Styela clava: one gene and its partner. The protein of the gene in region 1 binds, or shares a complex with, the protein of each later gene. Links are inferred from orthologs where the notes say so. Each region holds a gene or a part of one and is shown in the gene's direction. Other genes may lie near its edges. The genes, in order: ral GTPase-activating protein subunit alpha-1-like and ral GTPase-activating protein subunit beta-like.

Region 1 (16,451 bases):
TCATCTGGCAACTTAAAATCTTTAAAACTTCAATTATGTCATTATACATTCGTTCTTTTGAAGAACTAATATAACAACAGTGCAAGTTATTTATTCCATATTAAATGCATATTGCGGTGTTCCACGTAGACATTGCTCATTTTATAATTATACCACATATGGTGCTAACCACATTAAATTTAATGTGTAACAAAAGTGGCATTGGATGAATTATGAGGCCAGGTTTGATGGTCATTTCGGGGATGATTATCGCCACTGAATGACGCAGATTCGAATCCTGTGTTGGATGACTGTATGCAAAAGGATCACTGGACTCCTCGCGGTCGTGGGGTGGTTCGTATAACAGCTAGTTAGTTGCGGCATCTTCCAACAATTGAAGGAACGAAAAGCATTGAATAATTAGTGTTACCATTGATATTTTAGTTGGGAATTTCCTATTGATCCATCGTCTACAATGTTGTCTCAAAATGTCGATGAGTTTTATAGACACAAAACGCTCAAGTTACAGTCCTTGTTCGCAAGATTACATTTTTAGTTGGGGTTCCGAGTCTTTCTTATCGTACATACAGGTTTTACGAAGCAAAGTTGTAAGGTGCATTTCAAGTTATGTGAAAAACTTTCAATTGTTTGTTCCATGATGGAACTTACATCGGCAAGTAATTATACAGTTTTCAGATCTGGATAAATTGGTGAGTTCATGCATCAAAATAACCTTGTTCCACCACTTAAAAATTAATTCGCGCGTTTAAAAGACCTCCATAAACAGTGACGTATTTGGGGAATGACAGACAAGGCTCGTGTCATGGGCGCCATTGGAATAGGGAGGGAAAAGGGCGAAAAGTTTTAACCGTAGAATGTTTCAATAATACAATTTCAACTGAAAATTATTGATAACGTATATATTAGTATCTCATTTCAACAACAGTCGTTAAAAATTGTCTGCCAACGACCTGAAGATGTTGGCCAAGCGAGAAAGTAAGGAAATTGGCCAATCTGAAAAACGTTTTGAAAGTGAACGATGACCTGAATCTGATGTAACGGACTTTATTTCAAAGCGCGATGTTGGACTAAAAATGCTAGAAAGCAACTTATTTTATCGAATAGGATGAAGGCGGAATATACCAAGCTTGTTTTAAAATAATACCATAACAGCCATGTGCCTTTTTTATTCAAAAAATGACCGTACGATGAACAGTTTTCGCAGCCTGAAAATTTCTCTGGATGGTTTTACAGATTTTGTCGACAGTGGCAGTATCCATAGCGATTGTACAGTAAACTTATTCCTTCGTATCTTCGATACTTATTGAATCAGGAAACGATGTAACATCATTAAGTATAAAAAGGGACGAAAAAGGAAAATGAAATCATTGACGAATTTGTATCAAGAAACGCGCGAAAAATACTATTGTAAGCAAGGCCAAATTTTTTTTATAACGCGATGCTTGCTCGCGCCTTTCGCTCCGAACAAGGTCTGTACAAGCAGCCATTGACATCTAATGATATGTAAAGATCTTTTATTATATTATTTTGAAGGACCGGACTTTCCACTCCGGCATTGCTGCCCCAATTTATTACACTGGGTTGGTGGGGGCATGAAATTTTAATCCAAGATGTCTAATCTGCGATGCCAACACAGTTAAGGTTTGTACCAGCGATCGGTATCGGCAATTTTTCCGATCTCGGGATTTTTATCGGCATTTTATTCAGCGCTTTGATCTGCCTTAGCACGTTTTAAAATGTAAGTTAATAATTTCATAAGTAAGTTAGTAATGTTCAATTATTTTTGCATGAAGATATCATGTTTGCGACATCTACTGCTTCGTTAACTCTGAGCCATGCTCACCCTTGCAAGTGGGAAGGTAAATTATAAAGTCACGTTTTAAGGTAACGTCACGTTTTTAACGGTTTTGAACTTCCTAATGTTTTTAAATTCAAGTCATTTTCGAATATACCGTAATTATTTGTCACTACAATTTTATAGTTTACGCAAAATTTATCCTGATTGTTTATTGCAACTACATTTATTTTGAACAATACATGGTAGTTACGAAGAAAAATATCACGGTGAATTTCCCCGATTTGCGAAATCCGAAATATGAGATCATGGTGTCACATAATCCTTTGCACGTAACTCTATGTATTGGTAATAGGATAAGTAACCATTTTCGTATTTCGCCAGGTAAACAACACGCTTATCTTATCGAACATCGCGATTCGAAAACGCCTATGCACAACGAAACGTCGGCAGACACTACCATAATTCACGACAAAGTTTTAAAGCAATTTATGATGCAAATAATTCAAGTATTTAAATAAACCGTTAGTAATGATTGAGTCAATTGATACGCAATTTTTGCATCTGAATCACAGATATCAATTTCTATGTTCTGGAGTATCTGTTCTTCGAGCTAATGCAAATATAATTCGCAGACAACTATTTTATCCCGTTCGTCCCTCACACTCAAGATGATAATTACATATTATGCATATGGGTATCGGCGTTTTTTCGTCAGTATCGGCGACAAAAGTGATACCGCTAAATCTCGAATTGAAACTAGCAGATATATATATATATGGTCTGCAACATTACTTTCCGACAAATAGTTTAGTAGTTAAGCTAATTCAACAACTTTAAACCTTCACTGATCATTAATTTAAAACCGCTTGAAAATTTTATTCAAAACATTCAAAGGAAAATTTCGTCACGCTAATAACCGAATTGCGTAAGACGTAAGTCATTTTTAGCAGTTTTGAGAAAAACGTAAAAAACTTCCTAATGATATTGCTATGCCATTGAGAGTCAATAATTTGCCATGGTTCAATTTTTTGATCGTAGCCGGAGTTAATTTGTATGACGCAATCATGTGACGTCATAATGGCACTGTGGCAGAAATGTGTCTATGACTAGGGGACATCCGCAATTTTGCAACTTGACTATATGTACCAGTCCTGAAAACCAAACAATCCAAAAACGAATGTATTTCTTAGTATATACGAAGTCTAATTCCCAAAATAGTTAATCTGTTTCAATTAAATTATTTTTTATGTTTAAAAATATATATTTCATCAATACAACATGCTCTGCACATCCACCGAAATAAGACTAAAGTTAAATATAAACAATAAAACAGCAATGTACCCTTATATGAAAGCCAACCAAGGTGAATTGGACTCGGACAGTGAATATCACAAGTGCACGCCTTCCTATACTGTAGTATAAATTGAAATTTATAAGCGCTAAACTAGAGTCTGAGATGCAAAAACTCGAAAATCCTTCGGCGAGGTTATATTGCCTTTGTGACGTCACAATAGTCCGGCGCTAACAATGATAATTCATTATGACGAAACAATTGAACAAATTTGCATATCATACAAAATCTCTATTTTTATGGGTTTCGGAATTCCTAAAATAAAATCTGAGTTAACAGACAGGTGCGCAGCATTACATAAATACCTATTTTATGAAAAACTCAAAAATGACTTACGCAATTCGGTTATTAGCGTGACGATTTATAACATCAATCTACCCATAGAATTTCACTCGTCGCTTTTGGCCATCTGAGCTAATAAATATTAACTGTACGATTGTCCTTGATCCTTCCTTTCAAGATGAACAACGCACAAATCTGAAAAGCGATACGATGTCATCGCCGAGTTCAACTATATCTCAACACGGTATGAAGAAGATGGCTCAGCTAACACGGTTGTTTCCCGGCAACGTCTCGCACACTCGGCTAATCCTGCAAACATTCGTAGTCATTTTTTGAGGCTAAGAAAGCTCTCCACAGATTTACTTCACTGCCGAAGTTATCCAAGCTCTACAAGCGCACAATTTCACATTCTCGATTGATTCGTTTGGAAAGAGGATTGATAGCATGCCAAAAAACGTCGGGTTATCGGCGAATCGCTCAGGAATAAACAGAATAGAGCAAAATACTGTAGAAAAAAGCGTAAGAGTTTGTCCCCGCAAGACCCATGACTACGTCTACGTTGGACCCTGTTGTTAGTTGAGCAAATTTTCTGCTGCTCTTGGTTTAGTGTCGTTATTAAAACAGTGAAAAAAACAACAACAATGAGGCTCAACCGGTCGTGAGCCCAGATGACCCTCATCGGAGACTCACCCACCCAAAAGTATCACCCGAACTTAATTTATTTTTGTATTTAATATTGTGTTTTAATTGTTGTTTTGTGGAATAATTCTCTGACTATTCCTATATGGACATTGAGGGGTAACGGGCAGGACGCAAGAGGCAATGGTTTGCTGTATGACTACGTATATATTCTCATTGCGTTGTCTTATACTCTTGTCGCCCATTTCCTCCTGCTAAAACTATGAACTTCTATCTATTTCGCTATGTAAGGCGATATATTAACTTATAAACCTGTTTGCTCCCCGAAGCGAGCTGATAAACAAAGTGACTTAGCAGTTGTTGATGTGGGAACAATGACTCAAGTCGGTTAACCACAAAATTTATAAAACACGTTAAATCAAAATATCCCAAGTTATTTTAAAATACGTAAAGAATCTTTAATGTTCGCGTAGAGCATTTCATGCAGCAATAAGAATGAGAGCCTAGTCTAGTGTTTAGCGTTACCCAACGCATCAGATTGAATTGATACTTAAAAACGTTTTGAAACATTTTAGGTTGAAAGGCGCAAGTTGCAAGTTTAACTTAAAATTAGTTACTGTGTCGACTGTCGATTGAAATACGTGCTATGGATATAAAGTCAGAAGTCGGTGCACAAACCCATGAAAATAGTGTCAGTTGGGAGATGGGCAAAATAAGCACCATAGTCCATCGCGTCCCAAATATATATGAATGAAATATAGTTGCTATTAGCAGAATATGTTTATTTAGCGATATATTCATTTCGTGACCACGTTTACTGCAATGAGCCGATATTTTCGTACCGGATTATCCCCTTATAAGCTACTTTTGACGCCGTGCATTACTATCATTTTCCATTGTTTTGGCCAATTCTCAATCAAGACATCGCGGCCCTCGCGGGCAGTCGGGATTCGGGAACCGCAGTCTAGCATATAATAAAAATTCGCCTGCAACGCCTCGGACAAAAGTGAGTTCTTTGTGAATCAATTTCATTGTTCTGTCGTTACACAGAAAATCTAAAAATGCAATATTGCAGTTATTCATATAATTGTATTTTCCCTTGCACCGCCATCACCATTCCTGCACTGCCCGGGTAACTTATTTTTATGACATTCTAATAGAATGTCATAGAATTTCTATGCTATGCAATCAAAATCGACTCACAGTTGCGTGTTCCCTAGATCAGTAAATAAATAGGGAGATGGTTTTAAGTCAGAATGGCTAAGGCTTTTAATTTTACGAATTCGAATTACTGAATTAGAATTTAATTATTATTCTGTTATTAGAAATATGGTATTGCAGTATTGAAAAAATTGAAACTGTAAAAGATGAATAGGAATAGATTTTAGTATTTGTATGGAATATTAAAAAATGATAGATGTGAAAAATAATTACGGTAATCCAGTAATCCGTACTTATTTTATCACCATAAAGAAAATACACATTATGTGAACAAGAGAACTGTAGAAAGAAGAGATTTGAATATGGCATTTCGGGTTGAAAGGTCTGAAGGTGGCGCGAGAAATCAAAACTGGTTAATGAGCAGCGACACCCATGATACAGTCTAACAGTAATTAATATAAAAAAAAGAAAAGGGTTAAACATTATATCATGAAAAAAAGTTTACAGCAGAACAAAAAAAAACTGAATACATAGACTACAAATATAAAAAACTCGAAGCACCGTCACCGTAGGCCGCGTCGCGTAGGCATAAATGGTTAAGAGCTGGGGCAGTGGGGCCACTAATATTACTGTTTGCTCCCGCTGTATCTGTTACAGTATTATGGAATGCTTGACTCCAGTTTCATGGTTTCCAAGTCCTTGTTCGTATCATAAGGAACATGATTATTGGTTTATAGTTTTTTTCATAAATTACAGAAGTACCTGTTCATTTGGGAATTGAAAATTTGAAGTTTACGAACTAATAACAATATTATTTCAGAAAAATATTGATTTGATTTTAAATTGAAAGATTTTCTATAACTGAAATATTTGCTATGCATTGTGATGCATAAGTTATGATGGGAAAATTTCATTAGCTAGACGAATTTGGTAGAACAATTCAACAATTATCAATTTTGAAGATGTGATATTAAAATTATAGAGAATAATGAAAAAATCTCACCATTGTTGTTGCATATTCGAATGACAATATTAGGATTAGATGCTGAATTTTAATATTCAGAAACTTGGTACAACCAGTTTTGTTTTCATTTTCAACTTTTCGAACTGCTTTTTCAAGGAATTTGTTGTTGGTTACATTTTATTGGTCATATTTACAGAATGATTTTAATGTAGAACACAACTAATGTATGTGCATGGTTTGTGCAAAATGTAAAGAGATTTTACTCAACTGAACTTCTACATCTGCATCCAAAGGTGAAGTAAATTCAAAATACTTTTCTTGTTATTTATAGTAGGCAAATTTACATGTGTTTTTTCACCTTGATTTTATTATATTTTCATGATATTTTATGTATCAATTTTCTTTCTTGCAAGTGTTCATGAATTCAAAGTATGCCACATTACCTTTAGGAATGCCAAACAGTTTCTCTTTATATAATTCAATTTTTTTTTTTTAATTTTTTCTTTTTTATTGTGAAATTAAATATTATTACGTAGTAAAATCTATTATTTTGGTGCCAGATAATCTTTTTTTTTAGGATTGCAAAGTAATTGAAGATTAATTTTTGGATTAGCAAACCTAATTTAGTATGAAATCAATATATACACTCAATTTTATTACACAAAGTTTTTATTGAATCTGTGTTTTTTTATAGAGAAGTCACAAAATTACCCTAAATTCTTTTTATATGTAATAATGTGATACGCTCATAATTTAGACAAAAAAGCCAGTTTTGATGCAATAAAATAATAATATCGAAAGATGAGGGTAAATCCAAAATGCCTCAGAGCAGCCGGTTTCATCCTGTTATGAGTCATTTTATCTTTCCTTATTCTGATACTGTTGTCATGGTTCAGCTTTTTTGTATTATATGCAATACATAAATTTAGACAGCCTGCAAACTGGATAAGCCACCGTCAAAGGCCGAGCAGGCTGCTCGGTTAAAACACAAGATGTTTCAGATTCATAAGAAACCTCAGGGTGATGCAGCAGTAAAGAAATCTGTTCAAAAAATATTGGATCCGAAAAAAGATATTGTCACGAGATTGAAGCATTTGAGGCTTGTTCTAGGTAAAATATCTGCTTATTATATATTTTTTTCCAAAGTGCTGATAAAAATATGAAATTTCAACATGGAAAGCTAAATTATTTTCATTTTCCATATGTTTTCATGTGATACGCTTATAAATTTGAAAAAAATGATAGTTTTGAGGCAATAATGTCAAATTTGACAGTAATTTCGAAGAACCAAGTTAGAAAACACTACTTCACGAACATTGCATAGTTATTGTATACTGAAACTTTAAACAAATATTTGAAATTTGAATCCGTTTTTCCCTCAAAAATCACTCTTTCAGAAAATTGTAACATTGCCATGATTCTTTTCTCATTTATTTCCAATTCACGCTGAACACTGGGTATTTTAGGCAAATCACTTAATTACTGGAGAATATATAAAGTACTTGAAAAAGATAATCTACCTAATCCCTTTTTTCGTGTATGGATTAATCTCAAATTCCATATATTACCGGTATATTCGAAATATAGAAAATGACTATTTCTACCCGTTGGCTGAAACTGAAAGTACATTTGTGTAATGAGAAATGTCTGATTTTTTTTTTTCTATTTAGGAGATTTGAGTGTTGAATGATTCTTTTTAATTCTAGACGTACATTTATTGCTTTGTAACATTGTTTGTTTACCCACCTTTTATGTTTGAAAAGACTCGCCCTTATCCAATGAATGCCATAAATACATCGATATTATGCCTGCTGTTATAAAACATTGTGCCTAATTTATTTGATTCATGCGTGGAGATAGGAAAGTGGATAATTATCTTTGTGAGATTTTTAGGATGTAGGATGTTAAGTTCATTATTTTTATGACCTGATGGATGTTTTCCCTCCACAGAAAAATTCTTTCTATGCTCTACCATTTCGTATTTTTGATGTTCATTTTAAGTGGATTTGCGGGTTTTCCTGTGCGAGTTGATTCACATTTATAAAATCACCATATTGTTGCATGCAAGCTGCTGCTGTTAAAAAGTCTGACAGTTACGGTAATTTTAGCCTCGTGCTTTAACTTTCTTAAAGCTGTTTGCAATTACTAAAATTGTGATCATTCGAAAATAAAATGACTGCTGATTCATACATACATTTTAGATACATAAATAGATTTATAAACTACCAAATGATGACCAAAACTAAGACAACTAGTCAATGTTTTCAAGTGCAACTATGCTTAAAATGTATGTGTGTGTGTGTTAAAAAGTGTAGCAACTGGGTATATTTTAATTGATATTTCAACATAACATAACAGATGATACTTTGGAAAACATTCATTGGAAGTCCTGGTTATTACTATAGCCTTCATATTTTCTCACTTAATAAATATTGCTGTATTTAGAAAATGTTCTACTATCGTTCCTTGTCTATTATCATTTGCAATAATTTTTTTTTTAAATATTCAAAAAATTCGACTGTTCCAAGATAGTAAGGTTTGGACAAAAAATTTTATATGTGGTCATTTATAAAATGCATACATAAGCATATAATTTTTATCTGACTTTTGGTTTTCTTTATGCTTTAAAATTAGAAAGGAAAGATAGATATCTTGTCCACTTTCTACCATCAAGGCTTAAAATCAGTATCAAACATTGAATTGTAATGAAAATATTCAACTATCATTCTTGCAACTAAGTGTACCTTTATATTCTTAACAGATAATGTCACTGATCCAGCAGAAGAACAAGCAATTTTTGAACAATACTATTCTCATATTTATTATGTTTTCTATGAAAACTTTCTTCTGGCTGAGGCAAATGTGCGACAGAAAGGAGGTAGGGGATAGTTGATAGATAAAAATAAACATTTTAATATTCGAAGCATTTTGCTTAAATTTTTCTCAGTTATCTCTAATCCTAAACATTTTAGCGGCATAAATATAATAATCACAGTAATAAATTTTTATTCAAAATTTTGTCTCTACAGCTCACAGAGCACAAAGAGAAGAGCTCGATGGCATGCTGCAAATTTTTGAGGTTTGAGTTTTTTTTACTCATATTATATCCATTGTTGAAACATGAAAACCACCGGTTATTGTCATCACTGTAATAATATTTTTATATGACATGCGGTGACTTTGTTTATTATATTTAATCACCAATTGTGTTTATTTTTTTGCATGTCCACAATTGTTTTATTACTCAAACTTATAGTCAGTTAAAAAAATCAATGCAGCCCTTTGACAATAAGTACATATTTAGGATACATTTTACTAAAATTGAGATCTACTTTTAGTTGGGGGAAATTATAGTGATTATATCTTTTATATGCTTTGGGACTTTTTCTATTTTGGTTTCTGCTTATGGCCAACCATAGTACATCTTTTCAAAGTAGGTTAATAAATATACAGGTTAATAAATGAATAGGCAAAGATTGAAGCATGTGAATGTATGACTAAGATCTTTTCCTGTCGAGTTTTATGTATTCCTGTTGTTTATTGAATTGGTTTAATGGCTACATGTTTGAATTGCATACTATACAGCGTATCCATCTGCTGATAGAACAGATGAGTTTCAATTCGTGGAATTTTTTTTCTATAGGCTATATTAATAAATGCATCAGGGAACATTATGCGTTTTGAATAAACATTGTTCAGATATATTTAGTGTAATGCCCATGAACATGAAGATATGTGTGACTCTGTTTATATTAGTGTTGAAATTAACAAATATCTTTTTTTGGGTTGTCCACCACAATTCTTTTTAACTTTTAACTTTTCGCTGACTCAAAGGGGATTGAATTTTTTGATAAATCATATTAAGGGCTTTGCTAAAATGCTGAAATTTGTATATTTTCAATATTTGAACTGCTATAACTTTTTAATAAATACTTGGTAATATTGCTCCAATCTATGATTTGATATACGCCTTAAATGTTTTTTTAAATTTCAACATTTGCCCTTTGTTTTCAAACCCATTAAACGATTTTTTCTGCTTGGCTTGAATTCTGCATATTCCAATTCTACAAATATGATTGAACTGCTGCATTTTAATTTAAAACAAAACTATCTAAATAGTCTGAATTTTAATTAGTCCATAAAAGAGATTGAGGCTTCATAATTCATAAAGTTTACACTTATTTTAGTTTATATATTTTTTGATCTTGCTGAAAAACCATATTTTTTAGACTATTCTTGTACGTTTACCTGAGATGCTCCATGAAAGATGGCAATATAACAGTATTGGTAAGATGATTTATTATTCATAATATTAATAGTGCAAGATTTCAAGCCAAATTGTAAAATCCGACATCATTGCATATCAGTAACAGCTATCTTGTAACACAACTTAGCACCTCTTTTATTATTTTTATTTTTAGATCGAATTATCAAGACGCTCCTACATCCAGGAAATTCACTCAAGGTTTGTTTGATGTGAATTTTTTTCTTACCTAAGCTCTAAGAAAGCAGGCAATACTACCGTGATGCTATAGCAATGCTGTTGCTCCCACGCTTTTCAAATACAAATAGTTTAAAATTCCTTTATAGAATTCTTTTGTCTATTAACATTTGATATGGCTATTTGCAATTAGTTTCGTATTACAATGAGTTCATCTTGAGAAATAATTACCGTAGACTAGATAATTGAATATTGAAATCTCCAACAATTTGCATGACTCCGCAAATCTTGTGGGAGATGTTTAACTGTTAGGGAATGTTCGATCATTTGGTCCAAGATTCTGGTAACTGGTCCGGCGGTTTTCTGCTATGTGTCGTCTCATTTACTTCTGCTTAACCCCCATTGTGATGCCAACACTATAAACACAAGTAGCTGCGTCGCCGGGAGTCTAACCTTGTTTTTTTAGTTATTATTATTCATTTCTATTCATTAGTTTGTTTATTTTTTGAAGAGAATTAACTCAATGCAAGGTCGCGTTTACTCACTCAGTATGAGGAAACTCTTCGCTGAGCAAGATTACACGCTACAGCGAATTCACACCATCATTAATATTTAATATATTTTTAGATGCGACGAGATGGAGTGAAATTCTTCTTATTGTGGTTTCGTGCTTTGAATGTGAATGCTAAAGAATCAACAATATTATTGTATGCATCTATTGTACCGGGATTTCCCTCCCCACCAGCAAAAAATGAACTATACAGTGGATGTTACATTGAATCACTAATAAATCCTGTTCCTGACAACAGTCAAAGTAAGTTTTTTAATGAACTAGAATCTAATTTACTTTAGATTTGCAGTAGACGAACATGGTCAAAAAATAACTTCTCCAAAAACAATATTTTTTATTTTGGGATACTGAATATATCATTCAATAAGGATTCATCAAACAACATACATAAATTGACGCATATCCATGGATACTTCTGAGATGTCTGAGAAAAAATGAATCAAATATTCAAATGTATTTGAAAATGGTTATATTCGATATAGTAAATTCTTGGTTTTTTATTTCTTGAAAATTTGATACATTCATTTTTTCCAAGCTGGCGTATGTCCTGCAGAAATTACTTGCTTGCTTCCTCCTCCTGCTGGCGAAAAGAATCCTCATGACCTGACGAAGTTCTTCTTGGATATAATGTTGGAATATATGGTTGTAGAGGTAAGATGAATATTTTACAATAAAGTCAATATTACTTGTGTGGAAGATTAGTATGCTGCCAATGTTGGCTTCTTGGGTTGGAGACCTCTTACCCAAGTCTATCACCCTAACCCAGAATGTATCAAATAGGGGCTGAACCATAAAGATTCTGGGTATTGTAAAAAATATAGTCACTACAGCCTATCAGTGTCTGCTAATCCAGATATGGAAGTAAAAAATTGGACGTAAAATTAATTTTGATAGTAAAATGATCATTTCTGTATTTTTTGAATTTAATAGTTTTCAACTTGTATTGCATAGTAATCATATATTCTGATTAGATACTTCTCGTTTAAAGCCTCAGAGAGTTAGTGTGAAGGTATATGATTAATACCTAAATTTCCTCATCCTGTTGTATAAACAATTTTATTTTTTCAGGCTTGTAAGTTACAATGGAAAGATCGACCAAAAATGGAAACAGTCTGTTTTTCTTTTCTCTGGAATATGTTCAAGAAATACTATCTTCCTCATATTTTTGATGATTTTCATTTCGACACTTCTGTTTATCAGCCTAATTTATGTAAGTTTTAAGGAATCTTAGATAGAATGCCTTCTTCTTACTACTGTAAGTGGTGAAAAATAATAATTTATTTTTCATTAGATTTCTTATTTATCATTTCTGAGATACTTCTTTGCAGATCATTATCAGGAAACAGTATTTTACAAGCGCTGTTCATTGTAAATAATTCTTCTGCCTTTGCACAACCGATCCCTTTTGTGTGGGTTCGTATGTTTGAAGCCCAAGCCGAAGCACCTGGAATGATTGATTTACTAGTTAGCCATTTCCCTGCCTGGCCTAAACCGATGATGGGATACATGTTGTATTTGCCTTTATTTTTTAGATCTTTTATCGACTTTTTCTGTCTTTTGGTATAAATATTATAAATGCTGCGTTTTATGAGCTTGTGTATCAGTTCTTCTTATTTTAAAAACTTTATTTGTTTTGATATACAGACTGTTCATAAGTCTCCTTACAATTACAATTCAAGAATTTATCACAGAGTTATTAAACGATAAATGAATTCAAACTTTTTCCTCAGTCAAATTGTCTAATCCAGTTTACATAAATGTAAATGTTCTACCTGAAATGCAATTAAAAAAAAAATTGAATATGACTATGAATACAGAATAAAGCATCTAAATGTCATCCAATCACAAAATTTCAATTATATTGATTATACTGATTATACAAGGCATTTTATCACATATTACTAATTTTACCTGTTTTTTTTACAGCATTGCCTGAGCCGAGAGGACCTGTGAACTACATTTTAAATGTAACAGACACTGGCTCAATTGATCCGTGTATTGAAGTTGGTCCTGGTTGTCCCATGCTGCCTGCTCGCGTTTCCACAATTAAATGGGTGATAGCGTTCACAAGTGATGCCCTGCACAATGAAAATAAGAACAGGGGTGCAAGGTATGTAATGGACATTGAGTTAAGTAATACTTAGGTGCAATTGTAATATCTACTCTCATTTGGACAATTTACAGTACTCACCTTGTATAACCTAGGATTTTTCCTATAAACTAACCTAAAAGTTGAAACCAAAAATTTGTTGAATTTCGAATATAAAATATTATGGGAACAAATGGATACCGATAACACACAAACACCAAAGGTATAAATTCAACTCAAATATCTTCGATATGAATATGACTAATTTTGAGTGGAATGGAATCCGTAGAATTACTTATTCTTTAGTTACTAGAGGGAGATAATTTTATCACTAACTATAATTTGTTTGCAAGCCAAATTTATCAAATTCAAATGATTTGTGTTTTTTGCACTCTGTTGATTGTAATTCCTAATTCATTTCTAAATTTACAAATAATATAATATCATATTATAGTAATACTGAATCATATTTCATACGATCATATTGATTAATTAACAAAACTAACTGGTCTTTGGACAGCCTGCAAGTCTTCTGTGATGCATGTTCTACTATAGAAGGCAATACTATGTGTTTGAGGCTTTGAGTGCTTTTCAAGTTCTGGTTTATAATAGTTTGTTAGTGTTGTTCCAAGGAACATGTAATGGTACAGAAATTTTCATTCGAGTAAGAGTATTCCTAATTAATCTAGGAACATATTGTAACTGGTAATTTTAAATCTTATCTTGGAAAACCTGGCTCAAATCACGAATTCCGTATTATGCAGCACACTATTTCTTACTAAAAAACATGGTTGTCCATAATTTCTCAATAAATTTTTTATCTAGATTACCGTATTCTAGAATTTCAAATTTAATCCAATGACATTCTCAGTGCTCCTGGTCGTAGATGATATTTAAATTAATTTCGGGTAGACATCGGTGTCATTTTAAATGGTTTTCCAATTATTTAAATTCAGTTATGGCTTGGTAGTATTTCTTAATTATTCTGTCAATGCATGATTGAGTGAATACGTAACTAGTATTAAATGTGAAACATCATTAAAGTTGGAATATATGTTCAGCGAATCTTCACATTTTTTGATTATTACGACTTTTGGACATTGGTGGTAAAGCTGGTCACTAACCAAAAGTTGTCTTTTTTGAAGAAATGTGTATCATTCTGTTTCTGTATCATAAATTCTATGTGACCTGAATCACATAGAAATCAAGAAAAATGTAAGGCTTCAAAACAATAATTGAGCATTATATTGCGAAACAATTCGAGTTTGACTTGAAAAATTCATATTTAGATCAATTGAGGACCAGCAGTATAATCGAAAATACTTACAATTGAATCCCGAAGACTGTATAAAATACAAACCCCAATCAAATATTGTTTATCTTCTTATCTTTCTTATATCTTATATTTCCCAAATTCAAACTCATTGAATTTACACCGACTTTTATGTTAAACATGATTAAATTCCGAAAACATTCAATATTCGACGTTTTTGAATGGCTTCGTTGAAAAAATATGCTACTTTTCGCTGATGGGGTAAACAGTTAATGATAATATGAATCATTGCTATTCAAAAGTATCATAGGAAAATAACAGTCATTGTTAATGGGTACAATTTTTGTCTTCAGCAATTTTCTTCCTGTTTTTCGGAGCATACATCGTGTACTGGCCTTAGCTTGTTGCTGTTATTCGTTTCGGATAATCAGTACAATGCCAGACAGGTGACTTGAAAAATTTGCGAAAGTGATTCCTCATTTTTTTAACAATACCAAATTCAATTTTTTTGTAGCATGTAATAGAACGCTGAGTTCCAAATTTGAAAAGCATTTTTCAAATTGTAGTATTTGTAGTGTAGCATATTTGCATGCATTCTGAAGGTTATAAAAGTGCACATTATGCTCCGAAAAACACTGTCATGTAAATATTGTTTGTTTGATAATTTTATATTGCATGTAATGTTTTTAATCTTTTGCTTTCTGCTTTTGTGTTCTTGTTTAATTGCAAAACGCAGGTCGGATGTCGTATTGGACGGCCTGTCCAGACTGCTGAAATCACATATGATGCAACAACGGCTTATAGTCGGTTCTGTAATTGGGTGATTATCATTGCTTTTGATTTTTTTTTTTGCAGCTTTAAAATGCAAATTTAAATTTTGAAATTTTGCAATAATCCTTTTTATACTCAAATATTGAGACGACAGGCAAAGATGAATTTGAATTTCAAAAATATCAACTTTGAACATTTTTTTTTTCTCATTTATTCAACTAATTTGGTCTTCAGTGTGCAATGGTTGAACTTGCGAATTATTTTAATATTGACAGATATTTATTGTATTAGTTTATTGAATTTTGTTTGTGATATGCATGATTGTGTGTTAATTAGTTACAGTAGTTATTTAAAAAGTAGTGATTAAATAATTAATCTTATGTCATAATTTAGGCACTTTATCATGGAGGCATTTTACATAAATCACTATCATAAATAATTGTGAATGTCCGAAAATTGTTCTAAGACTAAATTTGAAATATAATTTATCTGGAAAAAGTCCTATTAAAATTTATATTTGAATGATAATTAATGATATTTGGTCAATTTTCATTATTTGTGGAAATTTTTATGAAATAATACTTGGATATATTACAAAATCAATGAAATTACAGAAGAAATTTAAAAATCGGGCATAATAATTGAGTCACAACAAAACATAACACATAACCTCATACAACATCATAATTGTACAAACATAATTAACACTTCAACCATCACAATTTTCATTATTTTCTTCCATTAGTGGTCACTTTCTAGTTTCAATGTATATCTCGTATTAAAAATTTATTAAGCCACTTTTCATCAATTCAATTTCACTTACTGTCTAACCTAACAAACACAGACTTCCAGACAGACAAGCCATTGGTGAAGCAGATTCAAAAATGGCAGGAGGGAATTCATCTGGTGGTAGCCATGAGCAAGAAGCATCTCATTCTAACACAAGTACTTTGACTGAAAAGGTAGCAAGGACACTATAAGTTATTGATTAAAATTTATTCAAATCTAACTAATACACTTATGCCTGATTTAGTAATTATTTTACCATCTGAATTTATTGTAGGTGACATGTACTGGCTAACAAATTAGCAACTATTTAACTAGTTTTTCT
Region 2 (17,178 bases), on another chromosome or scaffold:
TCATACATTAATAATTCAGTACATCAAGTTATGATTAATGCCAAATTTTTTGTGATATTAGATTCAAAAAAATTTTTGCTTAAACAAAAAAAATCTTTCGAGACTAAATAATTTTTTTTTTTAAATTAGGCAGTTTTTGAATATTCATTTTTCATTCGGTATTAAGGTAACCAGTTCTCCAAATGCCTCAGATGTCCTGCTGTCACTTCAATAATTTTTGAATAATCGAAAATTTCTGATTTAGCCCAACATACACAGTTTATTATACTTCAGATTCGCAATTAAAACAAAGATGGGGCACAGTTCCTACACTGCCAAACATATTATCTCACAAACTGAAGGTTTTATGACTATTGTGTTGAAATTCTACTGTCAAAATGTGACAAGATTTTTGTGTATATTATATGCTATAGAGAAGGGTTGCGAAACCCATAGCACATGGGGCAAGGTTTTTGAACAAGTGGTCAAAATATTTGCCCACCTAGACTGCCGGCCGGCGGCCCAGTTTACGAACAATATTTACAGAATTATTTCAAAACTGAATTCATCGGCATCGCAATCTCAAGAATTCCTTGAGTTAGTTTTTTTAGCTTAAACATCTAAATTTGGTTTTAGTTTGTCTGTTGCAGAATCAGGCGGGGCCGGATTTGCCCATGTCAGCATGCGCCTCACTGTTTTGTGTACCCCCTGCTTTTGAATAATCGCAATCACTCCTGTGTTTTATCAGTTTCCAGATTTTGAAGAGTTATATTGCAAGTTTTCATTCATTCATGGTCAAGACTGGGCAGTGACTGCTGGATTAGAAGAAGGCATCTCACAAATCACAAGAAAAAGTCGAGACGAGAGACAACTATTTGTGTGGAATTTCCCTCTGGATATCACATATAAAAGTACAAATCCGTTTGGATGTAAGTTTGCATGTAAATCAATTTTATTGCATGTTAAGTTGACCTGTTAGAATCAATAAAGTTTGAATTAAATATTTTTGCCGATGTACCACAGACCATAATGTAAGCATAACCTGGAGAATCTAGTTTTGTAATGCGTACAATGTTTATTCATGCCCTGCGCTCTAAACAGTCCCACCCTCAGACCCTTCCCCCTTGCTACGCCTCTGTCTTAGAATATGCGGGAGCTACTATTATAAGGATTAGTTACGATTCAACATTACCTACCCAAGGATGGGAATGAGATTTGAAGTCTTAACATGTAATCTGCGATTTCAATGCAGTTTAACACACCAACAGCTAGGCAATCACATGAATTCCATCTTCTTCATTCTATCATCTAACAGGGCCTCAATTAGTCGTTAGCTGTTATGGTCCAGATGCATTTGGTCAGGATGTCGTCAGAGGATATGGAGCCACACATGTGCCCATAGCACCTGGAAAACACTCAAGGATTATACCGATGTTCGTGCCCGAATCGTCATCAAAGTTACAAAAATTTACAAGGTTTGTTTTCATCTTATGACACAAATGTGACCAACATTCGTCAGATTTCTGACTTCACTCTGTTGCGATTATGAGTCGGGGTTAAACAAGACTCCCTGTCATTTGTGGATTTGTATCGTATGATGCAAGGATGCTGTAGCAGTAATAAAAATGACCTTACTATGTAATTTAAGAGTCCTGCTGCATACTCAAGTCTCAAATGTATTTCCCTTTTTCATATTAGCAGTTTACAGCCCTACAGGAATACATTTCTGTTGGGCGCTGCCGGACTCTTGATTTACTGATTGCCTTACGTTAATATTACGCTTTTGAATCAATGCTGCAAAACATAATATCTCAGGACTAATATTTTATTTATTTGGCTGGTATTGATTAAAAAGGGCCACAGTTTCAAATATTAATTTAATTCTGCACTAGTAAAAACACGAAACCTTTTGGTTTTATTTACAGTATATTTCTACAGTTTGCTTTTTATATCATAAATTATACTTTGTGCGAGACAGAAGAGTTAACGAATTCCTATTCTTCAACGAGAAATTTTGTTTTGAATTGTTATCTTGTTTTTAAATCATGCCTTTTCTTCCATCAGTTGGTTCCTTGGCCGACGTCCTGAATTCGTAGATCCCAAGGTCGTAGCGCAAGGTGAAGGTCGTGATGTCACAAGAGTTCGAACACAAGGTCATATAAAGGTCAGTCAACTATAGTTGTTGCACATGTATAAAGTTGTTATTTTACACACTGCGGAGGTTGTTGTTGGAGAAAAAGCTCAATTCTTCACAACCAATGGGCCAACCAATTTCAAATTTTCAGTGCTCAAAGATGAGAGAGTCTTTAGGAAGCTATTGCCTGTATTTTTCGTCAAATTTATGTGTCATAAAGCATGCTATATGTTACCCAAAATGTTTGCCGTGTTATTTTAATTTGACGGGTACACTATTTATTTCGTATCACTCGACTGTCTCTGCATAGCTTGTCCTCTGATACTCTCAGCCTCAGGATTACCATACCCGTACCAATGTGCGGCCTTGTGTCCATGTATGTGAGGATTGCTGTCCTATATGATGTCAAAAAAAAAAAATATACTTGCTATCTGAGAAAGAGATTATGCTATTCTTGTTAATAATCCTGATGCATTCATGAAAGCATCGTCAAGTCCATGCACATGAAAATGAGTAACTGGCTGACTAATTCCATACCCAACTTGGACTGATAACCGGATGGACTCAGGCCGTGGTTTGCCATATGATTGAGCCGCCATATTGTCTTTCTTCACTCCTGTGTCCTTTTCAGCACATAGAAATTTACTTTAAGAAATTTGGCTATCTGTAACACACTTTATAGCGTTTCACATGTTTATGGCTCTCCAGAAGTGTGTGTACCAAAATCTGAATGAAGTTATGGCCCAACCCTAACCTGCTACAAACACTACGGGAGTACCCACTTCATAGTTTTCAAATTTTTCAGGTTACTTTTAATGTTGTAACAAGAGATATGAAAAAGATGGGTTATGATGTCACGCCTGGTGAACCACTCGGATTCGATGCCACGCAATCTCAGCCTGGTGCTGTTGCCACAATGCTATCGTGACATTCCAAAATAAGATACTTTGATTGCTGCTTATAACCACTGTGGCTGCTAGTTCAGGAATGTTTTATATTTGACAGAATTAAATATAATTATGTCTAGTGGAAATTTTTTGAACATTGTTTCATAAATAAATCTTCACATACTCAAATCTTCAAATGAAACTTTGCTGAATAATATAGGGTGCCATAAAGTCTAGAAAATATTTGAAAATGCAAAGGGAATTTATCCATACCATATGGATATGGATTGTTTTTGCCTTCACAGATGTGTTAAATGAAGTAAAAATACCTAAACATTACTGTTTAAAAAACGACAAATCTGGTTAAGATATATTGAGAACTGACTTAAACAAAATTGAAATTGTAAAGGGACTTTATGAACACCCTGTATTTTATAAACTCTTTATATACTTTATTTGAAAAATAATTTAATATCTAATAATTAATATCAGGATATTATTGTAGAAAACCATATACAAATATCCAATGGTTTGCATTGTTGCACAGGCACTATGTTCAGTGCAGCCAAATTTAAATCATTTTTTTTTAATTTGAGAGTACTTTTCGGACTCTATTTCTAATAAATTGTTTGGTGTGCAGAATCTATTTCGAACTAAGAACTCATAAATTTAAAGTCATTCTAACTCAAATTTCAGAAGAGTTTAGGTTACAAAATGACTCTTTTTCCCCGCGTGGTTCATGGTGCATTTTCAACGAGCAAAAGTATCTAACAATTAGGGTTACGTGAAACTACGGTAACTACGTTTTCTCACTCTATGCCTTTGGGCAGGTGGTTCCGTATGCAAATGACAATTCTATTCAATTCAAGATTTTCGTAACAAGGTTAGACGGATTGTTACAGAAATACATTTGTGATAGTTGGCATCAAGGCTCTTGAATTGAAAAAAGAAAAATATGGTGCTATTTACCTTGAATATTTCAGGCAAAGAATGGATTATTTCAGGTTTCGTTAACTAGATCTCTGCACACTTCCCACGTCAAAAGTGGTGCCATCTACCTTATTATTAAATAAATACTTGCTTCTCAATTGATGACTTCACTAAGCTTTGGTGATTTTCTTTTAGTGTTATTTGGTTTCCTGGCACTTTGGTGGTACTTTTATTGTTTCAACCTTTTCATATAATGTAGATGATTTTTTACTATTTATATACCTAATAGATATATTATTCTTGTATGCATTTTGTGTTTTCTTGATTCTGAAATCTGCTACGTGCAGAAATGAGCAGTTGATTATTGGCTAAAAAATCTAGGGTTACCATATTTTTGTGACTTCAAAGCGGGAAGCCCCCAGAGACAACGACCCCCGTAGCTGTGATTTTGTAACTTCACATTTTCACCTTCAGTAAGTAGGCTAGCGCTGCCCTACACAGAAACAACAGTAACGAGAACATGTTCGTGTATCATACTGGATAGCTGAACGCCAAAGCGGGACTTTTGGCTGACTTGTCGGGACGACGGGACAAGACGCTAAAATCGGGACTGTCCCGCCTAAAGCGGGATGTATGGTAAGCCTACATATACTCCATCCATGCATCTGAAAACAAATAACTAATCCCATACCGGACATGGACTGAAAACTGGACGAAAGGCCATGATTCGCCCTATGATTAAGCCGTGTTGTCTACTTTCATCTCTTCCGGGATAACTATTTGAATCCTACCCTAATAGCAAAGTGTGGAAAAGCGAATAATCTGGAAATAAACAACCTAAAATTAGGTTTAACCTGTGTTGAATGATGCCACCAACTGCATGCGAAACAACTGTTGAGTGATTAACTTTGAGAATAGGTAACATGTTATTTGGCCTGTACATACTCTGCTTCGTCGTTGGTCTTGAGGTATGCGCACCAAGATGTCGCATAACCAGAACCCTAAACTGGTACACAACCTGAGTTCAGGTTGTGCGCTATCTTGGTGCGCATACTTCAGGAGGTCCGCTTCGTCTTACGGTTGGTTTGTTCGATATCGTTAAGTAAATGTGGTAGCTAAAAAGAGACGGTGAGATCGCCAATTAAGTTGGCGCCACAGGGTAGATTACTGGGGTTCAAACAGGTTCACCGTCTTACCCAGACGCATGACCGAGACAAAAGGATTTGGTCGTTCCAAAAACAGTAGCTCCTTGCATCAGTACCTGCATTTCCAGGGTCATGTTCAGGGCGAAAGCCTAAAAAATGGTAAGGCAATAAAATGATTGGTAAAAATAAAAACTGATTATGAAATCAGGAGAGCAAACAAAACCTTACTTAGTTTAAAACGTACAGAATGTATGATAGAAGGTTTTGCCAAGAAGAAGTGGTACGTGTTCACTCACCAAAAAAAATTGAAATATTTCACACACGCTCACACACAACCATACAGAAGGTATAAAGTAAGAAGAACATGATAAATTACATTCTAGTAGTTAACAAATAAATAAATAAAAATTATAATCATTTCTTTATCATACAAAGGTCAGTGATTACCTAATTTATATAACAAAATTCAAAGCATAATGATAAATAAGCATAAATTGCTTGAGTATACTGACCATAACGGCGAATAGTTTCATTCTGCTATTTTGAAGTCCTTTTATGCCCAAAAACGCTCATGGACGCCCAAAAATTTTCTGTGTAACTCGGTTTGGATTTGGAAGTCGGAATGCGGCACCGTTTCGCCCACAGACGCACCATGACGAATGTGACCATCCAGCCTTTTATTTACACAATTTTATCGATGTTAGTGGTATTTGGCAGTGACTAATGTCGACTGCGCGAGGGTTGACTCTACACTGATAGAAAGGCGTTATGTTTTTTAATGGGGATTCCTGGTTTCCGTCAGGCGAAAGAGAATTATTAACACTGCCAAATATCATAGGCGGTGGAGTTATTCTGACTATTATTGTATGGGTGCGATTTTTTAAACGCGGGCCCGTGTGCAATAGCAAGAAAGACCTAACGGGAAAAACAGTGCTTGTGACCGGTGGTAACCGTGGGATCGGAAAAGGCATCGCTATCGGCCTTGCGAAATGTAACGCAAGAGTTATTATTTGTTGCCGAAATAATGACAGAGGTTGTGAAGCAGTGAAAGAAATACGGCAAAAAACTGGAAATGATCAAGTGCATTCTATGAAACTTGATTTGGCAGATTTTGAAAGTATCAGAGAGTTTGCTGAGGAGTTTTTGAAATCTGAAAGTAATTTGCATATTTTGGTGAATAATGCAGGAATTATTCTAGAAGGAAAAACTAAAGATGGGCTTGATTTGATGTTTGGTACAAATTATTTAGGACCGTTTCTGTTGACTCAATTATTGATGCCTATTTTGCGGAAAACTGCTAAAAAATCTCCTATTAGGATCGTGAATGTAGCATCAGAAGGGTACAAATTTGGGAAGATAAATTTTGACAACCTGAATCCAGATATCAATCGGAACTCAACTGGGCTTCAAATCTTTAAGCAATATGCTAACACAAAATTGATGAATGTGTATTTCACAAAAGAACTGGACAAAAGATTACGTCAAGAAGGTGGCACTTGCAATAATATTACTGTATACGCAGTCCACCCAGGAGCTATTCAAACCCACATTGGAGCTGATCAAGTTAATAAAGGAAGATTCTTTAGTTGGTTATTTAGAAAAATGTTTTTCGTGCTTTTCTGCCGTTCTTCTTTCTACGGATGCCAGACCCCGCTTTATTGCTGCTTAGAGGATGGACTCGAGGAGTCTTCGGGAAACTACTTTACCGAAATGAGGCAGCGAAAATTATATCCTGTAGCTACTGATGAAAAAATCTCTTCCGTATTGTGGCAGAAATCTATGGAGATGTGCCACTTGGAATAATAATGCAATTGATTGACGTAATACATTTCTAATCTACTGTCTAGGTAGAGAATTGATATATGTAAATGACCCGGTGAGTCTGTTATACTTGTATCAAACATAAACATAATAAGCAGTTTAAGAGTGATTTACCTTTCGTAATTGTGCAAACAGATTTGCTCTTATCTTATCTTTGCAATTTTGAGGCAGCTTCTTTCAATGTTTGTATACTCAGACTGTATTGTTTGTGCTGATTATTGTAATGTTATTGATATTCATTTACGATATACAATTTTATTTTTATAATCAAACCCAGACAGCATACTATGTTATATTGCTTGATTTGAAAGCTTATCAAGTGTAATCTATGATTTTGTATTATATATGCATTTTTGTGACGGTAGCTAACATTTTTGAGTGACCATTTGTTTTATCAAATCTTCATATTATTGATTCATTGTAATAGATTATTAGTATGAAAGTATATCAACTATTTTACCAAAAATTTTTTTAGTAATTTTTAACATAACCACTGCATATGTTTCTAAATTGTGTTTCATATTCTAAAGTAGTAAGATGTTTACTTTTTGTGATCCAATTATCTTCTCAAATCCAATACAAATTCCATTTGTAAAGTATTTTATAGAAAACATAACTTTTCTGCAAAGCGTCCAAAGATTACTGTAACTTTTGAGTACAATCGTACACAAACAGTTGTTCGAGTGATAAATGAATAGTACTTAAAAAAATTGATGTGCATAACCACTGAATATGTTTAAAATTGTGTTTCATATTCCAAAGTAAGTTGTTTCATGAACAAAATATCCTTCCAAATCCAATTTTCAATATAAAGAGCACCCAGGTCATATATAACAATATTCTTAAGAAAAAATACTGTATATCCTCACATATAGGCCGACTCCCAAAAAACGACCCTAAAACGGTGAATTTTGTAAAAATCCACATATAAGCCGACACTACAAATCGTATGCTCTCATCGTAAGAACTTGTATAGTTCGAGTTGTAGCTGGTGGAATTAAGTTAGCAACATGTCATTCTGTTTGAGTGTGATCAGAGTTATGCACGTATAATTGAACGTTCAATGCACTCAGAGTTGTGCGCGTATAAGCCGATCAACCCTTGGTTTGAATTTTGGATTCGGCTTATATGTGAGGATATATGATAACTTTTGTGCAAAGCGACCTAGATTATGGTACTTAAACTTTGGGGCACAATAATAAATGAACAGTAGATCAAGTCTTGAGTAAATTTTCTTCGTTTTTGTAGAAATACTTCAAAAAATTTTGGATTCTCTTTTTCTTGGGATTCTTGGGAAAAATTTTGGATTCTCTTTTCACCCTGTAATATACAGCGATTATCACTGTAGTTCATGGGCTCAATCACTGTATATCTGAACAATTCAAACCTTGCGGGCGTTACCCTCTCCTATCTCGGGAATATTTTTTCAGTTCTAATTTGGGCCCACGGTCAATCAACTTTGGAAACCACTGTCTTAATTCAATGTAATTGAGTAATATCCGCACTGTTTTAAACTGAATTCTTGAATACTTTGTGCGCCTATGATTTCATCCGCTGCTAATATTTTCAATTTAGAAGATCATTGAGATAATGTATAATTAGAACATAAAATAATTATATACTCTATGGTGACATCAAGTGGATATACCTTATTATTATAAAATGTATTCGGAGTGGACGTCGGTTAAAACTGAAGTCCAAGATCTTGAAAAATGTACCAGTGTGCTTCATCATTATTTGCCGAGTGTTGGAAGAGATGTAGCAAAGTCTGTTGTAACCAGTTTGTTAGGTGGTAAGTGTTGTATTTCTGATTGTTGTCATGTTTAATTAATTCAAGCATGGTATTTCTTAGGATATGTTAATACTGTACGGCACACTATACAAATCGGGTGACATTGTCCCGTTTCAGAGAAACCCATTTTACAGATGATCAGACACCCCTTCTTTGGGAGACATCTGGACATTGTTGTCCCTCAATATCGGTAATAATACAGTATAATGAAGTTGCGCGAAATACTACAAAAAAGCACACTTTAATAACGTCATCATTGAATTCCTTGGGAAAAAATAATCCGATTTACCGTAGGGGAAAAAAAATTTTACCGTAGCATTCGAGAGTTTTTAGCAAAAAACGGCAATTTTGGTCATGTGACGGCCCACGATTCATTTAGATTTTTATTGAGACAAGCATGGCACGATATGAAGCATCTGACATGGTCCCAGACGCCCCTCGTTTGTGAGACACATAGAGTGTTTGTTTTATTGAGCCAAATGGAGGGAAATTCTTGAAATTTGGATAGTGTGCTGTACTGTAATACTTCCATATTTGTCCCGGGGGAGAATAGTTGACAGGCGAACCATAGCCTCTCATCTATTTAACAACACATGTTGTGTACAGCGCAGCGGTGTGGCTCAACGGGCTAAGAGTTAGGAATACGCTCGCCACCGCACCTCTAATTACTTTGCGTGGGTTCGCAGGTTCGAATCCCATGCAGGGATGGTTATGTGCGAGAGGATTGCTGGACTCCTCGCCATCGTTGGGTGGTTCATGTAACCGCTGGTCGGTTACGGCTTCCTCCACCACCAAGTCCATGCTTCCGAAAACAAACAATATAACTTATCCCATACCCGACTTAGAATGGTAACCGGACGAGAGGCCGTGGTTTGCCATATGGATAAGCCGTCTTATCGGCTTTCCCCTCCACCGGGATAAATATGTAAATCCTATGGTGTTACGGTAGTTAGCTCATGATTGTGGAGTAGTAATGATGAGGCATACTGCCAACCCTTTCGATATGCTCGGTTGGCTCATCTAGTAATGAATATATAGATCTAACCTTACTTGAATGCTTCACTGTATTGAGTTAAATTTTTATGTTTTTGTTTATTGCAACAGGTGGAGGTTCTAGCAATGGAAGTCGAACTCCTGATATTGGGAATATACCCAGGTTCAGGCAAGATTCTGAGGTATGTAATGTTGGTATTATCACTATAGCACTATTCTGAGTGATATATTGTCAATGGGGCAGCAAAGATGGTTCTTATATATTGTGTGAAATGTCCATTATAGACTGTGCATTCAGTTGTGTTATAATAGTTTTTACATGTTAAAATGAGCTCGAACGTAAGGTACCGGTAACCTTACTTAAGATAAACAGAATCAAACGAAATAGATCAGAAATTGAATAGTAGAGCCAGTATAGCAGTGTTTTCCAATCTTTGGCCCGCTGGTCTTAGATTTAATTTGGCCCGCCGAACTTAATCAAGTAAAATGGTTTAACGCTTTATAAAGTGTTAAATGCTTTTACCTTTTTTCGATCTCGTAACTATTCAATTATACCAGTATCTTAATTATATGTACTGATGTCGGTATCAGCCCCATGCGGGCACTATTCTTTCTCCTTCGCGAATATCCTTCGGCTTTTATTATTCGCCCACGGTCAAGCAGCTTTAGGAACTACTGCGTGAAATGAAGGGAAAAATACAGCCCCAAACCATACTAGTTGCTTGCCTTGCTCGAAGCAAAAAGCATATGAAAACAAACCAATATTAAACTTCTAACTTTGTTTCTTCAGGTTAAATGGACGATGGAAGTTGTGTGCTTCGGTTTGAGTCTCACTTTGATGGAACTTGACACTCTGAGAGAAAGTGTGAACGTGTATCTTGATTGGTTAACTGTGCTTACAGTTCCGAAAGCCACTGTTCCTGAACCAATTTTGAAAAATCCATTATCATATGTTCGGCAGATGATTTACCATTTGCAGAATCTGTTTATTCCAAGGTAAGAGGATTTATATTTTATATATTTATCCCAGGAGAAAGAAAAGCCAATTTGGCAATTTAATCATGGCAACGTGAATCAACCACCCTGCGGTGGTGGTGATAGTCCAGCAATCCTCTTCCACAGGATTTAAACCTGCGAACCCATGCAGAGTGATCAGGGGTGCGAAGTCGGATGTAGTGCTAACGCTTGGTACGATGCACCGAGCCTAGGAGATTTGAAAGAAATATATATATTGTGAATTTCTAATGCTGTTTTAATTATTCTAGGAATACAATGATGAAAACATAGTATGAAAAAATGAACAATTTTAATTTTGTCAACAAACAGCCCGTAGTTTTCTATTCTGGTTTGATGACACATCCCTAATCCTGTTTTATATTTTGCAAACATGGGTGGATGCCTTTCGGCAGTGCCTCACCCGTATATGTGAATTCCGTCCTTATCAAGGGGAGTGCTAACCTGCTCTCCTTTTCAAATACACAATATCCACCTATGCTTGACTTGCATATATAGACACTCATTTGAGTTATGCTACCATTTGTGGTTAAAATTGAAATCGAGATTTTTTCTTTCCCATGGCACTATGTGTGCCACTAAATTGTTTAATATCAATAAGTTCAACTCAAATTTAGTTTAGAACGGCTATAAACAATATTGAACTTATTTAAAGTACTATTATCAGAATTTGTATCATATTACTTAGTATAGGATTTATATGAGTTGGGGGAGGCACATTGTGCTAAGCGTTAGTGCGCTAAATAGGCTACACATTATCTTCTATGTTTTTGTTGAACAATTGAACGAAATTTGAAAGTACTCAATTAACTATATCCGAAAATGTAATTTTAGATTTTTTTTTAAATAATTCAAAGTTGCAAATAAGATTTTGGCCATTGCTTACGATAATAAAGATATGCATTGTAGAAAGAATTACATGGAAGTGGAACCATATTGTATGCTTAGTTATTGAATAATAAATTGAATCAGCAATTACTTCATATCTCATTTGTGTGTTTGTACTGGTAATATTATTGATCTAGGAATTGTGATGAATTATTCATTTATTTGACATGGAGTAGATGAATCGTTTTGCTAAATTCTTGCCGTGGTGAAAAAAAAAGGCTTTTCTTTGGAACTAATAGATGTTTTAGATCTGTTGTCTAGCTTTTTATTCATTGAGCTGTCTCGGACTAGCTCAGTGGTTCTCATATCGTGTAACGATTTAATATGGCCTGCCTGCCGAACTTGAGGGAAATAGTTTTAACACTTTGTGATTTTTTCTCTTTGCGTTTCAGATACTGCCAATTGTTACATTGTTATAACAGTTCAAGCCTGGGTATATTCATTACAATTATACCAATATCTTAATTAATAATAGTATTGGCCCGTGAATATCCTTCCGCTTCTAATTTTGGCTTCCAGTCAATCAACTTAGGGAACCACTGGTCTAGTTGATCAAATCATAGATTATTACTTGGTGGAGCAAACAAACCAACACCGGGGCTCCCGAAGTATGCGAACCAAGATGGCGGACATCGGAATGCAATATGTGTACCAGGTTAGGGTTAGGCCATGATTTTAGGTATAAATACTACGGGAGGCTCTTGGCTAGTCCTCGAACTGATAATAGTACTAAAATAAGGAAAATTGGAAAAAAATTATCGCCTAACCCTAACCTGTTATCCATGTTACGTTCCGATGTCCGCCATCTTGGTTCGCATACTTCGGGAGCACCCCAACACCAGATGTAAATTGGGAATGTCCAAAACGACTGACGGCTTTCATTCATTCGTCAAGGCTTTGTTAATGAAATTTTGTTTTTAAAATTAGAATCAAATTTTTTTCCAAGAGGAAAATCTCTGTCCAACCAGAGTAAGAGCTGAGTCATTTTTTAAATGACTCATCCAGAACAAAGTAGCACAGCGCCTACAGCAGCGCCTTATTTTGAGTGAAAGATGTGCGTAAAAATGTCATTCGATAAAGCTCATGCATCTGAAACCGGTTTCTATCTAAACCTGATATATACAGCCAATATAGGCTAGAGGTCGTTTTTCGCCATAATAATATTATGATTATGAAGATTATAGGCTTTCTCTCTCCCAAAATGAATACGGTATATATATATTCATCAAATATCCATATTATTTTTCAGAACCGACGGAGCTGTGTCAACCCAAGTTAGTTTATGTCAGAATGTGCTTCGAACGATTCAAAACGTTGTTCAGAATTCTATGTTATTAGACAGAGAGACCTGGGAGACAATTTTGATGTTCATGTTGAATGTTTGTGACAAACTTCTTGCTGCCCCTTCACAACCAAGTAAGTTTAGTAGGGCAATAGTAATATTGATATTGTATTATTTTGTTTTGTTAATTTTTGGCAACACTGCCTGTTTATTTTATTGTTATCGTTTCACGCTTCACTGATTTTGTATCAGCTTGCGCCTGCTGAGGATTGCAGTATTCCCATTGGTTATTTTATGAATCATCTTCAGTCGTAAAAAAACTCAACAAATGGGAAGTAGAAATACATGCAATTCAGTCAAAATTATTAAACAAATCCCCGTTGATTTACCTTGAATTAATGTAGTCACCTCGAATGGTATTGAAAGAAAGCTACTACTTGTTGTCCTCAGAGAACTGTTTCGGGCCCCTCAACGGTACAGTTCTAGAAACCCTAGTCTGGTACTTAAGGCATGGTACCTAACTATGTTGGCATTGCGGATTATTAAGATCCTCAGTTCAAACTACACACTGAATGCCTCGCCCAGAAAGTAACATATTGAGTGCCGAACCAGTATAGAATTCATTTCTTCCAAAAGGAAGTAGTGATCCAGAGGGTGAGGTTTTGGGGGTCAAACGTTTCTGGATTTGGAAACCCACGTGTTTTGGCCAGACACACTAGCTGTTAAAAATTAAAAATTTCAGTCCCCCCTTTCCCTGGCTACGCCCCTGCCTCAGCGTTAAAACATCTGTTGCTATTGTATTATTTTGTTTTGTTAATTGCTGGCAGCACTGCCAGTTCACTTCATTTTATTATTGTTATTTCACGCTTCACTGATTTTGTATCAATCAATCAATCATCATTTATTCGTCAACACAATTTAAACATGGTACGATATATGAAAAAATATTACAAATACAAGTAGAAACTAACTTAAATTGTGTGACAGGAGTCGCGAGGGACCTCAAGAGGTCTTCAGGCAGCGACACCTATCTGCTTTCTCTTGCTTCTTAGGATTAGGTTTAGTTAACATGTAGGCACAATGACCATGAGTAGTGGTGGTGAATTACCATTAAGTAGGGATGGTCGCTTGTACAAATCCTTGTTCTAAATGAAAGATATAAAACTTAAATTGCGCAGTAGCGTAGCCAGGGGGAGCATTTTGAGTTCGGACCCCATATTTTTCTGTATCAAACATAGCAATTTTTCATAGCTTGAAACGTTTTCTAGACTCAAAAATCATGTTTTCTGACCGGACACACTAGCTGTTACGGTCCAAGTTGGCAATTAAAAATTTTGGACTTTTGAAAATTCCCTGCTACGCCTCTGTCTCAGCATTGATAGGATAGGATTTACATATTTATCCCGGGGGAGAGGAAAGCCGATAAGACGGCTTATCCATATGGCGAACCACGGCCTCTCGTCCGGTTACCATTCCAAGTCGGGTATGGGATTAGTTATATTGTTTGTTTTCAGAAGCATGGACTTGGTGGTGGAGGAAGCCGTAACCGACCAGCGGTTACGTGAACCACCCAACGACGGCGAGGAGTCCAGCAATCCTCTAATGCCTTTCAAAAAATTATATATTTTTTTCCTACAGATGGGCTAGCTGAACAGCTTTGTGAACTTCTAATGCAAACATTTATGCAAGTGTGGCTTCTATCTTGTGCCAGGTCATTCCCTTCCCCTCCACTATGGAAGACTGCTAGGTTATTATTTGCTGGATGGAGGCATCATCCACCTGTCGTGGAGTATTGGTGTAAAATTACCGCTGCATTAACTGCAAGGTTTGTGTTAGTTATCTTTGTTTCAGAGGTTAAAGGTCGTGATACAAAGATTTGAATTAAGTTAAAATTAACTTTATTCGATTTTATGAATTATTTAGAATAATTTCTTTCGATGAAATATTATTGATTACTCACAATATCACCTGAAAGGCCCAAATTTCTGAAAATCATATAATACCAAAATAAACCAATGGAATCATTCTTTATCTGCGACTTCCCTGTATTTCCACATTCAAACCCATTTGACATACACTGACTTCTTGTGTTCCTTGGTATAAATTAGAATTCCCAAGCTTTTAAGATTGGGACACCTTCCAATACATTGAGATTTTCCGCGACCCTTGTTGTCGGCATAGTGTTACAAGCAAGCCACTTTTCTAATCCTAGATGTATTCTCTCCAAATCATGAGATTTAGGTTTTGCAATAGTTTTAATAATTTCGTTCAAATAAAACATCTAAAAAAGTATAATAGATATGGTACTTTGTGTGAAATTGGTGTACTTTTTGCAACCCCTAAAATTCGTTGTGTGTCTCTCAGTGGGGTTGTGACTCCCAGTTTGGGAAGACCTGGTATGAAGTATATTTAAGATTCGAAGTTATTGGATCCCAGCTCTAGGTGACTCTCATTCTGTCTGTTTGTTGTCTGTCTGTGTGTTTAGCCGTAGCTTCTAAAGTTCCGGGCCGATCTGGTTGAAATTTCTCATATGGGTTATGCTGCCACTTCAGTATTGGTATTTCACTGAAAAATAGACTTGTTTAGAAAGAGTGGGCGCAGTAGTATAGCAGTTAGAGTATTGGACTTGCTATATTAGCATGTATGTTAAAAATACGTAGCAGAACTTTGCAATACCAATCTAACCCTTTATTTGAGTTTATCTACTGAGATTTAATCTTTTCTCTGATTTTGAATGTTTTCTGTTTTAGGGTGGTTGAAGTCACCCACGGACCTTCCTATCCGAAGCTGAAGATTCCGGATGAAGACTTGAAATATCTTCCAAATGATTTATCAAACGAGGTTATGACTCAGACCTGGTACAGGATGCTGCATATGATTAAGTAAGTATTGTTATTGTATAACGGAAAACATCAAATTTCTTGGTTGTTTGGAAGCGCTGGGAATGTTTGATCAGTTTACATACATTTCACTCTTCAGACTTTTCTGATCACTAGGTTGCGTAATGCTTGTTTAAGTTGTGACTTAGACTTCGAGTTGCCGTGGGAGTTATTCAACAAAATTAATAATTTACAAATACACAATTATTTGTAGATTTATTCTACACAGTGACAACATATCAGGTAACCTGCGGCTCCAGTACAACCCTAACTATGCGTAAATGCCCTACATGTATCAATATATCATTAATTTTAATGAACAACTCTTATGTGAAATGTAAAACAAGATCATAAATCAAACGCCTTGTGGTCGAAAATGTGTGCAGGACGAAACGTATTAAGGGCTAAAAGTCTCTCTACTGTCTTGTCAGTCCTGTATTGAAGGGTGTGACAAAGAAAAGGATTTTTTTTCCCATATTTTTTCTAGAAGGCACAAAAAGGACGAGTGTATGGCTTAATCATTTCATGGAAAATTTAGTCTTCCATCTATTCACCAGTCCAGATTAAGTATGAAAATAGCTAATCAGTTAATTGTTTTGTAGGCTTAATGATTAATAACACTATTCTTTTCAAAAATACCACCAGAATACTGATTCTAAACCAGGCGCCATGGCCAACTGCTGTGCCCCAGACACATTCCCAGGTAGCACATAAATCTATCAAAAATGACTATAGTTATTACTTATCGATCTTAAGATCGGTAAGTATGTTGATAGGTATTTGTCTGTATGTCTGTTGGATGCACGCGATATCTCACGAAAGCGAGATTGAATCTGCTCCAGATTTCGCATGTGCATTCATCATATCTCGGACCAGAAGCCTATTGATTTTGGGCGAATTTTGTTGTATAATTAGCAAGTTATTAATTATTTAGTGATGTGACACAAGGTGTCACTATGGAGTAAGAGCGCTGTTTTGGGGATCCCCTTACTTTCGATCGATAAGTCTTCAGTCTCTGACCGATATTCTCGTTGATAGATTAGTTAAATTTTATTGTAATAGTAATGAATGATGATGCTGTGTTTTCTACTAAGTGTTAATTTCTGTTTTAATTATTAAAGTAGCGGTGTCAATTGTCATGGAAAATTTTTTGTTTGTAGATTTTCCCTTGCATGAAAAAGTTGATGAGTCTCAGAATTTTTGTGCAACGAAAGTGGGCGCACAAGAAAAGGTCGAAAAGCAATGAACTAGACACTCATTATATACTTTTATTTACAGTAACCCTGTTGACCTGAGCAATGCCAACTTGATCAGTAAATACCAAGGATTCTTTGAAACAGCTTTTACGAGAGACAATCTGCAGGAACCCGCTCAGCATCCTAGTCTTGCGATGCTGCCAACCATATTCTTGAGAGCTTTACGGGGAATCTCCAC

What was found.
Region 2: ral GTPase-activating protein subunit alpha-1-like (region 1) and ral GTPase-activating protein subunit beta-like share a complex: the UniProt entries of both Homo sapiens proteins name them as parts of the heterodimeric RalGAP1 complex. The link is inferred for Styela clava from reciprocal best matches to the Homo sapiens genes RALGAPA1 and RALGAPB.

The regions. Positions count from the first base shown.
Region 1 is NC_135253.1:4,748,631-4,765,081, reverse strand, and holds the start of ral GTPase-activating protein subunit alpha-1-like, read left to right. Parts: upstream 1-5,057; 5' UTR 5,058-5,076; intron 5,077-6,391; 5' UTR 6,392-6,488; intron 6,489-7,124; 5' UTR 7,125-7,187; coding exon 7,188-7,305; intron 7,306-8,956; coding exon 8,957-9,073; intron 9,074-9,224; coding exon 9,225-9,274; intron 9,275-10,424; coding exon 10,425-10,482; intron 10,483-10,616; coding exon 10,617-10,660; intron 10,661-11,263; coding exon 11,264-11,450; intron 11,451-11,742; coding exon 11,743-11,858; intron 11,859-12,275; coding exon 12,276-12,417; intron 12,418-13,133; coding exon 13,134-13,317; intron 13,318-15,305; coding exon 15,306-15,389; intron 15,390-16,184; coding exon 16,185-16,302; intron 16,303-16,451. UniProt on the Homo sapiens protein: Catalytic subunit of the heterodimeric RalGAP1 complex which acts as a GTPase activator for the Ras-like small GTPases RALA and RALB.
Region 2 is NC_135262.1:3,151,900-3,169,077, reverse strand, and holds the start of ral GTPase-activating protein subunit beta-like, read left to right. Parts: upstream 1-8,472; 5' UTR 8,473-8,558; coding exon 8,559-8,688; intron 8,689-9,792; coding exon 9,793-9,863; intron 9,864-10,471; coding exon 10,472-10,677; intron 10,678-11,062; exon of another isoform or gene 11,063-11,161; intron 11,162-12,832; coding exon 12,833-12,999; intron 13,000-14,503; coding exon 14,504-14,690; intron 14,691-15,615; coding exon 15,616-15,747; intron 15,748-17,022; coding exon 17,023-17,178. Other genes in the region: B9 domain-containing protein 1-like, read left to right, coding at 728-908, 1,295-1,454, 2,044-2,143, 2,919-3,041. UniProt on the Homo sapiens protein: Non-catalytic subunit of the heterodimeric RalGAP1 and RalGAP2 complexes which act as GTPase activators for the Ras-like small GTPases RALA and RALB.